2 linked regions of the Stegostoma tigrinum genome follow. The protein of the gene in region 2 interacts with the protein of the main gene of each other region in a biochemical or structural test. Links are inferred from orthologs where the notes say so. Each region holds a gene or a part of one and is shown on either strand. Other genes may lie near its edges. The genes, in order: zmynd11 and ets2.

What was found.
Region 1: the proteins of ets2 (region 2) and zmynd11 form a complex in vitro, tested with the Homo sapiens proteins (2 studies listed by BioGRID). The link is inferred for Stegostoma tigrinum from reciprocal best matches to the Homo sapiens genes ETS2 and ZMYND11.

Annotation. Positions count from the first base shown.
Region 1 is NC_081355.1:137,701,889-137,709,084, forward strand, and holds the start of zmynd11 (zinc finger MYND domain-containing protein 11), read right to left. Parts: upstream 3,096-7,196; 5' UTR 2,980-3,095; intron 1-2,979. UniProt on the Homo sapiens protein: Chromatin reader that specifically recognizes and binds histone H3.3 trimethylated at 'Lys-36' (H3.3K36me3) and regulates RNA polymerase II elongation. Does not bind other histone H3 subtypes (H3.1 or H3.2).
Region 2 is NC_081365.1:18,484,607-18,491,822, reverse strand, and holds the start of ets2 (protein C-ets-2), read right to left. Parts: upstream 3,262-7,216; 5' UTR 2,902-3,261; intron 1-2,901. UniProt on the Homo sapiens protein: Transcription factor activating transcription. Binds specifically the DNA GGAA/T core motif (Ets-binding site or EBS) in gene promoters and stimulates transcription.

The sequences.
Region 1 (7,196 bases), on a different chromosome or scaffold from region 2:
CAGAAGACCCAGGGTCAACTCCCATCTGCTTTAGGAGTGTTTAATAACATCCCTGAACACGTTGAATGCAAAATGTCTACCATGCCTGAGAGGAATAGGTTATGATTTCTTAATGCTCTCCAGCACTGGGGTTTTCCTTGTTGGGGCCAGTCAAAGACTACTTGAAAGGAAGACTGATTACTCTGCGGTCAGTCAGTAATTGTTCTATCCTGCAAATAGGAAGATGACAGTAACTGAACTAGATAAGACTTGATCTTTACCCATCCTGCAATTCCTAAGCACGTAAAATAGATGGCTAAAATAAGGAATTATCTTCTGAATTTTTAAAATATGTGCACTTATCAATATTGATGGCAAAGTCAAGGAAGCAAACTCAATCATAACTAGAAATGGAGAAATCTATACTGTAAGACTATGATTCTGAACGCGGTTACGAAGTGTTGAATTCAGGTGAACATACATTCAATGCAAGATGATGGATTTGTGGCACCACCTGTTTTACGCTCTATGCTCTCAGCAGGGTCACCTCTCATGAAAGGCTTATCTATGTGCATTTGCATGGATGAATCTGCTCAATTCTCTCACAAGAATGGCTGACAACAATACTTCATGTGAGATGGGTAAAGCAGGGGCACTTGGTATGCAGCTCTTGCTTGCATATAAAATAACTTGGTGTCAATACAATGCCACTACTTGAGACAGATGGAGATTACACTATTAATTTCAATATGAATGGATTATACTTTACTCAAGTCAGGCAATGGGCGAGTGCAAAACTCATCCATAATAACAACTTCTTTTGTTTAACTAACACCCTTAACACAGGAAAACAACCCAAGTGCTTCACAGGAGTGCAGTCAGACAAAAATTGACACCACGCCAAAGGAGGTGATAACAGGTCAGGTGACTAAACTTAAAAAACACAGGAAGCAGCCCTCTCGCACCACAGCAGTAGTGCCCCTACCCCTGAAGCAAGAAACCTGGGTTCAAGTCTAAACTGCTCCAGAGGTGTGTAACAACAGCAGCAGGTTGATTAGAAAGATAGGTTAAAGGGAACCTTGATGAAAGAAGGGTGGTTTGGGGAAGAACTTTCAGAGCTGAAGACCAAGCCGTTAAGCCACACTAGCAGTGGGATATGTATCAGAATCCTGAACTGGAGGAATCCGAGCTTCTGAAGGATTGCAATCAAGTCGGGGTGGTTTTACTTCCCGAAGGGATTTCACAAGAGAATGAGAATTTTAAAATTGAGGAGTTACTGAACTAGGAGCTAATATAGGTCAACAAACAGAGAACTTACTTGATTAAATGGAACGTATTGCAGGCTAGAATATAGAGTGTGAGAGCTTAATCTTTTAGAAAACAAAAGAGGGTAGGCTAAGCCAAGAACAGAAGGTAACTAAAGCACAGGCAAGGGTAACAACAGCCGTGGCAGGATCAGAAAGAGAATGGGGCAGTTTTGGATCGACATGACATGGAGTTACAAATTCAACTTTGATTCAAATCAGATGGTCGCCGAGGTTCTATATTTCGGCCCGAGAAAACACCCAGGGAAGAGGAGGAAATCAGTGACAAGGAAAGAGTTTGTAGTTGGATAAAAACTGGTATTGATCATTTTAAGGTTAGGTTAGAAAAACGTGCAACTCAGCCCAGACTTAAAATATTTTCAAGGGATGTAAGCATCATTGGCAAGACCACTACATGCTGCTCATCTCCAGACTAACAGTCTGCCAGTACTAGAAATGGGGGAGTCATGGGAGAAAGGGGTGGGTGCTGCCTACGTACATTTGAAACCTGATAGACGATGCTGCAAAGCAGCACCATGCAGATGAGAAACAGGAGGGGGTAAAGATAGATAAAAGAATTATGGGACAACCAACTGCTATATACAAGTATGATTTAAAAGCCAATGCAAGTCAGGATCAGATACCAGCAACAAGTAAAACAGTAGCTTAGACTTCCAAACTACAGGCAAGATACATTCCTTTTAATTTATGAGGCCATAATGCACAGCAGAAACCAAAGGCTATATTTTAATTCTGGAATACTATGCACGCTTGACAGACTATTTAATACCACTGCATGTGTCACACATGTAAAGCATTACAGATTTTCAAACACATATGTACGTATCAACTGCCTGCTGTAAAATTCCCAGTCGTTTACAAAACCTAAAGTGTACTTGCCTTTATCAAAAGTGCAACGTCGGCCATTGATTTTTCTCAAAAAAAAGAAACAAGACCACAGAGAAAATGACTGACCCCCTGGCTTTCACAATTGCCACCCCAGTCATTCCAAGTCATTAGGAAAAACTGAAGTGAGAAAAGGTGTTACAAGTTAACAGTCAATTTGAAATACAACGTTTGCCACACAGACTGTGCAAATGAATACAGACACCAGGGCTAAACTGTTGATTTAAAGGTGGGCCAGCTCTACGAAACTATGATGGTTAACGTTCAAGGAGCAACCATCCATCAGAGCCCAGAGAGAGTGTTCGTAAACCCTATTAATGGTCATAGTTCCCTGGGGTCTGGTTTTCTTCTGACTTTTCCCACCCATCGCCACCTTTAAAAAGGTGAAGGAGGGGGTGGGGGGGGATGTGGAGAGACAATCTTCCCTAACAATAAAAAAAACACTGGTCTCCCGACAAGTCGGGCTTCGAACAGAAAAGTGTGTCCGGCAGCGGCAAGAGGAGGAGAACATTAAACCCCGGCCACAGGGTCTGAAGTGAAATAAATAAAACAAAGACAGAGACACACTGGGGAAGGCCGGCTCGGCCTAGCTACCGCCTGCAGCCTCTCCCCGGCTTTGGGAGTAAACCCACCCCCCGCCAAACTCCTCACTCCTCGAAAGGCGAGGCCACCCTCCCCTACAGCCGGGCGCAGACGGGCCGCCATGTTCCCGGTTTCCCACCCGCCAACACATACAGCGAGCTCCCCGGCTCCGAGTCCCCCCTCCATCCTGGACCCCGGTTCTGCTCACCTCTGCCACTTCCCGGTCGGTTATCTCCGGACGATCCGCCCGGCAGCTGAGCCGCTGTGGAGTTCCTTTCCTCCCGCGGCCCCTGTGCCCGGTGCTGGCGGGGCCTGTCAGTATCGGGCTCCGCTCGCTTCCCCCTCGGACTCGGCTCCACATCAACAACAGGGGCCCCTCCGTCCGCGCACGCCCCTCAGCGGCAGAGCTCGGAATAGCAGCAGGCAAACCTCCGCCCAACACCCTCATCCCTCACTGTGCTTCTCCTGTCCATGTCTAACCTCACTCTCCTCCTCCACTTCCAGCACCAACCCCTCACTCTCCTCCTCTACTGTCAACACTCATCCCTCACTCTCCTCCTCCAGCACCTGCCACTCACTCCTCCTCCACTTTCACCATTATCCCTCACTCTCCTCCTCCACTTTAACCCTCATCCCTCACTCTCCTCCTCCATTGTCACCCCTCATCCTTCACTCTCCTCATCCAGCACCTGCCATTCACTCACCTCCTCCACTTTCACCCTCATCCCTCACTCTCCTCCTCCACCTCTAGCACCAACCCCACACTCTTCTTCTCCACTGTCACCCTCACTCTCCTCCTCCACCTCCAGCACCATCCCCTCACTCTCCTCCTTCACTGCCGCCCTCATCCCTCACTCTCCTCCTTCACTGCCACCCTCATCCTTCACTCTCCTCCTCCACTGTCATGCTCATCCCTCACTCTCATCCTCCACCATGACCAGAAGCAGCCCCTGACTCTCTTCCTCCACACCACTCTCTCCTCCTCCATTACCACCCTCATCTCACACTCTCCTCTCCCTCTACAACACACACTCTCATCCTCCTCCTCTCCACATTACCCTCTCCCCTCACCCTCCACCATCACCCTTTCCTCCTCAAACCCCTCTACATCACCCTCTCTCCTCCACCACCACCACTACAATCTTCCCCTGCTCATCCCCCTCCTCAACCAATGTGCCCAGATCAAGGACAGATGTTTGACTGGGGAACCAGCGTGGGTGATCGCCGGCTTGTGAGACCAGTCAGGTCACAGGTGGAAGTTCCCTGCATTGATCTACTGCAGGCCTTTTATAGAAAAACTTCAGCTTATCTTTTTAGTGTTGGTCCTTATTTTTCTAACTTATACTATGATTTAATGTATGGTAATGTAACCTTCTTATGTCTCTCTCTATTTTGTACCTAAGATTTGCACCCAGATACTTAGTACCTAAGATGGCACCATGTGGGGCAACACTGTAAACATTTCACTGTGCTCCTGTACTTGATCACACTTGACAATGAACCTATTATAATTCTAATTCCCCCAACCACATCACCCTCTCTCCTCCTCCTCCACTACCATCTCCCTCTCTCCTCCCTCCACAATCACCCTCTCCACTCGTTGACCTCTTCCACCATCACTCTGTCTCTCCTTCTCCCCCTCTAGCATCACCACTCTCCATTCAACCTCCTCCACCATCACCCTGTCACTTCCTTGACCCCTCTACCATCAGGTTGTTTCCTCTTCACCAGCACCCTCTCTCTTCTTCCTCCGTCACCATCGCCCTCCCACTTCCTCTTCCTCCACCATCTCTGCTCCTACTATATGCTTTATTCTTTTTCTTACAACACTACCCTCTCTCCTCCTCCTCCACTGGCACAAGGACCCTCTCTCCTCCCTCACCATCATCACTGTCTCCACCATCATCACCCTCTCTGCTCCTCAACCTCCTCTACCACCGCTCACCTCCTCAAATATCTCCATCAATACCCTCTCTCTTTCTTCTTCATCTCCACCATCAACCACCCTTCACCCTCTCTAGTCTTCATCCTCCAGCATCACCTTCACGTCTCCTCCCTCATTCTCCACTACCCTGTACCCTTTTGATCCCTCTGCATTACTAAACATAATGATCCATCTCCATCACCAAATGCACTGATGCCTCTCCACCACCACACACATTGATCACGCTCGATTTCGAAATGTACTGATCACTGTCCACCACCAAATGCACTGATACCTCTCCAGCACCAGAAACAGTGATCCCGGTCCATCTTGATGACACTGAACATTCTCCATCAGTAAACATATTGTTCCCTCTCTATCACTGAACAGACTGATCCCTCTTTTTGCTCATTACACCACCTTCTTCTCCTCCTCCTCTTCACTGTCCTTCTCTCGCTCTTATTTTCACCTCCCTATCTCTAGAGAATTATGCTGCAATTATAACTTCAGTGACAGTGTCACTATTCCAGCAAAATACTATCTAAATATTTGCATATTGCTATTAATCCCATCAGGGCCTTTTTTATGGCAAGGTGTGGAGCTGGCTGAACACAGCAGGCCAAGCAGCACCTTCGAAGCAGGCTGCTTGGCCTGCTGTGTTCATTCAGCTCCACACCTTGTTATCTCAGATTCTCCAACATCTGCAGTTCCTATTATCTCTTTTTATGGCAGGTCTGCAGTAGAACCTAGATGATAGTTGTTGGAGCTATGATGAGTCAGAGCAGGTGTAGTTTCCAAGTCCAGATGTAAATATTTTGGAGTCATACAGCACAAAAACAGACCCTCGATCCAACTCATCAAGCAATGAAATTTCCTAAACTAAACTCGTCTCGCTTGCATTTGGTCCATATCCCTTGAAACCTTTTCTATTCATATACCTGTCCAAATGTCTTTTAAATGTTATAGCTGAAACTACAACTACTATTTCCTCTGGCAGATCATTCCTCATACTAGCCATACTCTGTGTGAAAAAGTTGTACCTCAAGTCCATCTCAAATCTCTCCTCTCCCCTTAAATAAATACGCCCTCTTGCTTTGAACTCTACTATCTGAAGGAAAAGACCTTTGGGATTCACCTCATCTATGCTCCTCATGATTTTATAAACCTTTATAGAGTCATCCCTCAACCTCCTGCACTCCACTGAAAGAAGTCCCAGCCTATCCAGTCTCTCTTTATAACTCAAACCCTCTAGTCCCAGCAACATCTTAGTAAGTCTTTTCCGAACCCTCACCAATTTAATAAAATCCTTCCTATAGCAGGGCAACCAGAACTATGCACAGTACGCCTAAAGTGGCCTCACCAATGTCCTGTACAACTGCAGCATGATGCCCTGACTCCTTTAACTAAATGGTCTGAGCAATGAAGGCAAGCATGCTAATTGCCTTCAACCTGTGACACAACTTTTGAAGAACTTCTTACCTGAACCCCGTAGGTCTCAATGTTTGACAACATTATCCAGGGCTCTACCATTTATTGTGTATGTCCTGCCTTTATTTGTTTTACCAAAATGCAACACCTTGCATTTAACCAAATTTAATGCCATCTGCCACTCCTTAGCCCTTTAGCCCCATTGATCAATGTACCTTTGTAATCTTGGATAACGTTCCCTGTCCATTATACCACCAATTTGGTTAAAACAGATATCTTGCATTGAGGATCCTGAAAACATCTCTCTGTTGGGTCTATTGAGGGCTTAGGCTTCTCATCTCTCTGGCTAGGCAGTCTTCCACACAACTTTGCAATGGGAGGATGTCCATGATAATAGATGATGAATTGTAGAGAATGAAACAGTCAGACAAGTACTGGGAATGTTTCATTATCTAAAAGTTTGCAATTGGAATTGATCATTGGCTTGGAAGGTGCTGTTTGAGGAGTTTTGGTGAATTTCTGCAATGCATCTTGTAGACCATATGCACTGCTTTTACTGAGAGTCACGGTGGAAGGAGTAGATGTTTATGGACGTGGTGCCAATCAAGCAGGTTGCTTTGTCGTGGATGGTATCAAGCTTCTTGAGTGGTGTTGGGGCGGCACTCATCCAGGCAAGTGGGAATAATACATTACACTCCTGAATCGTACCTCGTGGGCAGACAGGCTCCGCAGATTCCGAGATGACTATAGGGCCACTAATTGGACAGAATGGATTGGTCATTTTTTTGGGGAGTACAAACTTAGCCAAGTTTTTACTTTTTCAACTGTAGCTATACAGAAATGTCTTGGCTAGGTCTTGATTACAATTCTTCAGCATAGCAATTATGGGAACCACTGGAGCCCATCGGTTTGTTGGATCCAGTATCTCAATTTTCCACATTAGTAGGTTGAATCCAGTGTTGCAATTGCACTGGAACAGCTTTGGCTTGGGGTGCAATTTGTTCTGGAGCACAAGAATTTGCCGAAGTGTTGGAGTGAATCACACTGGCTGAAGATTGGCTTCCATGTTAAAA
Region 2 (7,216 bases):
ATAATGGGAACTGCAGATGCTGGAGATTCCAAGTTAACAAAGCGTGGAGCTGGATGAACACAGCAGGCCAAGCAGCATCTCAGCAGCACAAACCGTCAGCTTTTGTGCTCCTGAGAGCTGCTTGGCCTGCTGTGTTCATCCAGCTCCACAATGTGTTCTCTTCCAAATATCCATTATTTTACTTATAATTCTCAGCACAGAAACATGCTGTTGTTATTTGGCCGAAGTACTTCATGTTAGCGTTTGTGTTCCACTGGAACATCTTCCACATTTATTTCATCTTTCAATTCACTGCTTCGCTTCAGTGCCTCTCCTCCTCTCAGCAGAAGTATTTTACGGTAATCAGCACTTCCTAAAAGCACAGTCATATAAAGGTGCATGCAGGCATTACACAACTGTTATGTGGAGGGCAGGAGTGGTCACCTCACTGTTATACATGTAACAGGATTTTACTGATTACTTTAGTTGACTGAAGCAAACATGAAAGATGCCAAATACTAAACCAGCCATCCTTTGAGAATGCATGCTTGGGGGAAGACAAACTGACATATTGTACATTTATGCTTTTAATGTTTAATTAAAAATTGGAAGGAAATATCAAGATTTCAGATCTGACATTTAACGTGTAATCTGTATTAAGGATGTACCCCATTAATTTTTAGATCTGTGGTATAAGCAATATAAAGTGATACCACCTTATCTCACCAGCCCTGCTCTTCAGACTCCATAATCAGCTTTTGAAGTGAATACATTATCTGATAACAAGTATGGCTGAGGTTAATCATGTTACTAATTAGATTTATATGGCTCCTACTCCACTGGCCAAAGTATCGCAAGCTCATTGCCAGTGACAAATTTAATAGATATGCCCACAATTCAAGCACCCGGTCAAGGTAACCTCTGTCAAACAATCACTCTGATTAATACCTAGTATAGCAGATTGTAGATGGAGGGAGGGTGCAAAAGTTTCTTAATTACTTATAAAGTCTACTTCTTTGATGACTTCAGAAGAAGGTTTCACAGCTTTACTCTTTAACAAACTTTACAGGACCCAGCACCCTTGACTCCTTTGATGGATTTATCAGATTAAAGTTTACAAAACAAAATAAACCTTCAAAAAAGATGTAAAATCAATCAAAAAAATTAGCTGCTGCATTAGTGACACTGGGGCATTTAATTCTCCAGCTAGGGCAAGCGTAGCACCTAACTGGTTTAAGTAATCCTTTCTTCTTGACTCAGCAAAGTGCTCATGGCTTAAAATAGACCTTTTTAAAAAATGGTAACATAGTACACAGAAAAATTGAAAACTTATTTTTTAGACCTGTTGTGACTCTGGATTTTGGGCAAGGTACTAAGGCAGCAACTGCTGTGTTCATCCAGCTCCACACTTTGTTATCTCAGATTCTCCAGCATCTGCAGTTTCCATTATCTCTAATACAGCAACAATCTTGTTGTAGCTGAGTGGTACTGCAGTGTCTTTGCCTTTCAAAGCAAAAGATTTACGACTCAGAGACCTGAGCTCATAACCTAGCCTTACGCTTCACTGCAACAAAACAAGTACTATGGTGTTGGAGATGCAATCTTTCAGCTGAGATACTAAAGTGCTCTCTCGGGTAAATGTAAAATTCTTATGGAACTATTTTTAAAAAAAGGGTGATCAGAGATAATGGGAACTGCAGATGCTGGAGAATCCAAGATAACAAAGCGTGAATCTGGATGAACACAGCAGGCCAAGCAGCATCTCAGGAGCACAAAAAAAAGGGTACCTCATTTGCCTTGGTTTACATGCACCTTTCAGCCATCACTGATTTAATTGTTTGTAGATGCCCATTACTTTAAATTCTCTTCAAAAAGTGCTTTGAGTATGTCCAAAGTACTTAAGAGAGTAAAGTACCTGGGGCACCCTGGGATGCTGAAGGAGGTTGTAAAAATGCAAATTAATTCTTTTGTTCACTTCACTTTTGCAATCCCTGCAAAACCTTTTCACAGGTCATCTAATTTAAGATGCAGACATTTTTCCTGTTGTCACACCTACTGATACTGATAACAAGTGTATAGATCAACCCACATATTACACAAAGACCATAAAGTCTCAAAACGATGTTACTTTGATCTCAGTTTAGATGTATTTTTATATAAATAAATAGAAATGAGGGAATTATAGGTTTGTCTTGTTGGTAGCACCCACTGCAAAGGTTGCAGGCAGTGGCATTTTCCGTGAAACAATGTGCAGTATTATAGCAAACTACAGGTCCACTCATCCAAAATCCACACATAAGCTCTGGACCTGAAAAGTTAACTGTGGCTTCTCTCCACAAATGCTGTCAGACCTGCTGAGCTTTTCCATTGATTTCCATCCTGAAGACATTGCTCACATTCCTGTCGCTTGAAACTTTCCACATTATTCTCCAACTCAACGGAATCGCTTTCTGAGCGGGAGGTTCAAAACCACACCGCTGTAGAGTCAACCCCAGCTGGGGTGGCCTCCTGGGGAAGATGGTACATCTCAGGCCTTGGGTGCCCTCGCAAGTCTTCGCTATTTGCATCTTTCGTCTTCATGCATTCTCAACTTGCTGGTTGTACTGAATGGAGGACAGCATCGTGACTTCTGTGACACCGCAGCAAGGCCCTAGATAACCTGGACTCGACTGTGTTCTATTGTAACAAGCGATGCTTTTAACAGCCGGCAGCACCACATACAAGCAGCACGGGGCTGGGCATATCAAAACTTTGTTTTAGGCCAGAATACAGAAAGACTGTAAAATACTAGTGAACAGGAACAAGCTAACCGTCTCCTTCATGTCAGAGAGAGAAAAGAACAAATCTTTTCACAATATTTGAAGCTTGGTCAGCCCCACAGTCACAGCTGCACAATCTCTAAGACCTAAATTGCGTACTTACAGTATAAATCCCTTCCTGCGTTATGTTTGCGTGTCGCGGGCTCGGGTCAGTTAAAATCCAGCAAAGCCTCACGATCAGTGAGTTCGATCCAATAAAATAGTGATTCACGAAGCGTCGTTTATGGCGGCGGAATTTCACTGTAAAGTTTCCCAGCGCCCCGCTCCTCTGTCCGATACGCCTGAGGTCAGACTCTTGGGCAATCTGCTGAATGAATATTGGGAGCCTCGCCTTTTACATCAATTCCCACAATCTCTCTCAACCCGCCACTTCCTCTTCATTGGACCTGCTCTGGGGGAGAGGAGGAGCCGAGAAGCGAACCATCACCAAACAAGGTTAACTCATCAGGCTGCTTTCCTTTCCTGCTGTCTTCGCAACCACCCCTTCCCCTCTACTCTTCCCCCGCCCCCGGCACAGTCACATGACCATTCACCGTTTTGTATCCAATAATGATAAACAAATTGCCGGCGAAACTGACAGACGTGCAGAGAAAGCGAAGTTATAGCTTTTGAGTCCGGTGACCCTTCGGACAATTGCCAGATGCTGCCGCTTCTCCAGCAATTTTAAATTTGTGTTTCAGATCTCTAGCACTCGCAGTTCTTTGTTTTACTTAAGTGATAAATACTGCTTCCTGTAGGACTGCATCAGCTGTCCGTTTCTAACGCCGCAGACAAATTGACATTTTTTGATAGAATTATAAGCTCTGCACATTTTGATTGACAGTGATATTTAAAATATATCTAATTATGCAACGCAGGACACCTTCCATGCCCAGGAGCCTCAGGAACTGTGGCATAGCAGCCTTTGACCCAGGTTTTGCAATGATGTGGAGGTGCTGGTGTTGGACTGGGATAGACAAGGTCAGAAATACATACAGCACTTCAGCTGTGGCCTAGTGTCTCTTCGATCATAACCTCCCTGCCCAGAGACAACTGGGTTCAGTGAATGAGAGATAATGGGAACTGCAGATGCTGGAGAATCTGAGATAACAAAGTGTGGAGCTGGATGAACACAGCAGGCCAAGCAGCATCTTAGCTCCTAAGATGCTGCTTGGCCTGCTGCGTTCATCCAACTCTACACTTTGTTATCTGGGGTTCAGGGAATTATATACCTCTTCAGTTCGCAGCCTTTCTTTGCAAAACTTGGTCAGAAATTAAATGACACTAGATTATAGTCCAGCAGGTTTATTTGAAATAACAAGCTTTCAGAGCCTTGCTAACACCCAAAGAAGGACCAAGGCTCTGAAAGTTTGTGTTTTCAGATAAACCTTTTGGACTATTACCTGGTGAGGTGCGATTTCTGACCAAGTTCTGCAAAGAAAGGCTGTGGACTGAAGAGGTACATAATTCAGTGAACCCAGTTGTCTCTGGGCAGAGAGGTTATGATGGAAAAGACAGTAGGCCACAGCTGAAGTGCTGTATGTATTTCTGATCCCCACAGTAGGATGGATGTAATTGCACTTGACAGGAGGTTCACCAGGTTATTGCCCAGGCTGGTGCATTTCAGCAGTTAGCAGAGACTTAGATAGGCTGGGGTTGTAATCCTTAGGGCAGATAAAACTGAGAGGGGATCTGACTGAGATGTGCAAAGTATGAGTGGCATAAATGGGAAGAAACTTTCCTTCTTGGGAGAAGTTTAAAGGATATTTAAGGAAGATTTTCACCCAAAGGGCTGAGGGAAACTGTTACTCATTAATACAGGTGGGAATTATTATGACATATCAGAGGGACCACTTGAAGTGTCATAGCATCTAAGGCTATGGGTTAACTGCTGTAAAATGGGCTGGAGTAGATAGGTGCTTGACCAGCACAAATTGGCCAAAGGACCTCTTTCCATGTTGTAAAACTATGACTCTTGGCCAATTGAACTTTCTGTCTTTTCATACAGTCAACTTTGTGAGGCCATGGTCCCCGTCTCCAGTTGACAGAGCCAAAGTCGTATCTCATTAGCAATGAAGGTATGGATGCTCAAAGGGTTATGACCACTGATCAATAAAACATACAGGAGGACTTTTAAGTGTACATCCATCATCCATCGGTGAACATGGCCGAGCCAGTTCAGATATCACTGACTTAGCAATGGTGTCTATGTCTTTGAATTAGCATACCCAAGAACAGCTGGATTGGCAACCATGCCCTGCCAACAGATGGCAAGTATACATCCAAGACGGAAAAGGTGGGAACTGTTCAGCGTTTTCTCCTTTCTATCATATGTTGTCTAGGTCTCAGCACTGTCGAGCAATGTGCTGAGGATACAGGCCTGCTGGGATCACATTGTGGGCTTCTCAATCAGGTTGCAGTTGCTTCACACTCCCTCATTCAGGTCCCTTAACAGCTGTAGCTGTTGTGATGCATGAGCAGTTTTCAGCATGAAGTGACTTCTTGAGTGTTGTTGGAGCTGCATCAACCCAGGCAAATGGAAAATATTCCATCACACTCCTGAACTTTATGTTAGTAAGTAGTGAAAAAACCTTGGGGATACAGAAAGTGATTTAACAACTGCAGACTTGCTAACCTCTGATCTGGCCTTTTAGCCATAGTGTTTATATGACCATTCCACTTCAAATCTCGATCATTCTTCAGGATGTTGACAATGGGACATTCAGCAATTGTTTAGCTATGGAATGTTAAGGAGACATTCTGTGTAGATGGAGATAATCATGGACTGGCACCCATGTGTGCAAATGTCTCTTGCAGTTTATCAACCCAAGCCGTCCAGTTCCTGTTGCTTATGAACATAGACTGCTTCAGTACCTAAGGAGTCACAAATGTGCTGAACATTGTGCAATAATCAGCAAACATTTACACTCCCAATTTTATGCTGGAAACAATGTCATTGAAGAAGCAGCATAAGATAGTTCTGTATAGGACACTACACTGAGACATTCCCCATCGCAGAAGGCAGATGAATGGGGTTGTGAAATATTTCAGCCATGATTGAATGGAGCCAAATCAGTGGGCCAAATGGTCTAATTCTGCTCCTACATCTTATGGTCCTTTGGTCTCTTGCAGTGATATCCTGGAGCTGAGATGACTGACCTTTAACAATCACAACTCCAACCAATGGAGATTTTCCCTCTTCATTTCCATTAACATCATTTTTGCTTTGGCACCTTGAAGCCATTTTCAGTCAAAATTTGCCCCAGTGTGAAATGCGCTCACTCTCATATTACAGCTCTTCTCTTCCAGTTTGGATTGATGCTGTAACTGTATATGCCCTGGTGGAACCTAAACTGAGTGACAGTGAGCAAGATATTGCTGAACAAGAACAAAAACAGTGTTTGCACAGTCTTCAATTCCTTCTATCACTTTCCTGAAGTTTGAGAGCAGTCTGATGGAATATCATTTGGCTGGGTTGGATTTATTTTGCTTTTTGTAGACAAATGTGAGCAATTTTACGTATTGCTGGGTAGACATTATTGTTGTGGCTGTACTGAAATAATTGTTCTGCAGACACAGTACTTCTCTTGAAGCTGGCAGCCTGAGAAGATCACATCATTTGCAGATTTTCCCGTTCTGGAAGGGTCTAGGCCCGAAATGTCAGCTTTTGTGCTCCTGAGATGCTGCTTGGCCTGCTGTGTTCATCCAGCTCCACACTTTATTATCTTGGATTCTCCAGCATCTGCAGTTCCCATTATCACTGATAGGATTTAGAGTAGATGTGTTCAGCCAAGATATTTTGGCAGCCAAAGTCAACAAAGAAAATGATATCCTGGAGCTGAGGTGATTGGCCTCCCACAACCGCTACCATCTTTATTTGAACTTCATCGAATGGATAGTCCAGTTCTGAAGAGGAGTAGTGCTGAACTCAAACCATTGACACTGCTTCTGTCTCCTTAGGTGTTAGCAAACCTCTGCAGTTTCTTGAGTTTCTCTGAGTTTGCTTCAGATTTCCAACAACTACAGTATTTTGCCTTTATATTATTTTTCCCATAATTCCACTTGTTGTTGCAATTGTTCGGGGTCTCAATCTCTGTATTACATATATCCTGGGCACTGCCCCCTCCCTCCAGCAGACACAAAGAAGTTTATGCAACTACCATGGGTGTGCCAATTTCCCATACTTGGTGATTTCAGGCATATAGCATCAGTTTTTCCCATGGGAAGCGAGTCAATAATTTTGCTAAGCTCTTCCCGTGTGCCATGACAAGCAGTCCTTATTTGGTTCAGGAGAGTAGGAACTGCAGATGCAGGAGAATCTGAGATAACAAGGTGTAGAGCTGGATGAACACAGTTGGCCAAGTAACGTCAGAGGAGCAGGAAGAATATGAAATATGAATAAGAATTTCCTTGTTCGTATTCCCCTAGAAATTTCTGAA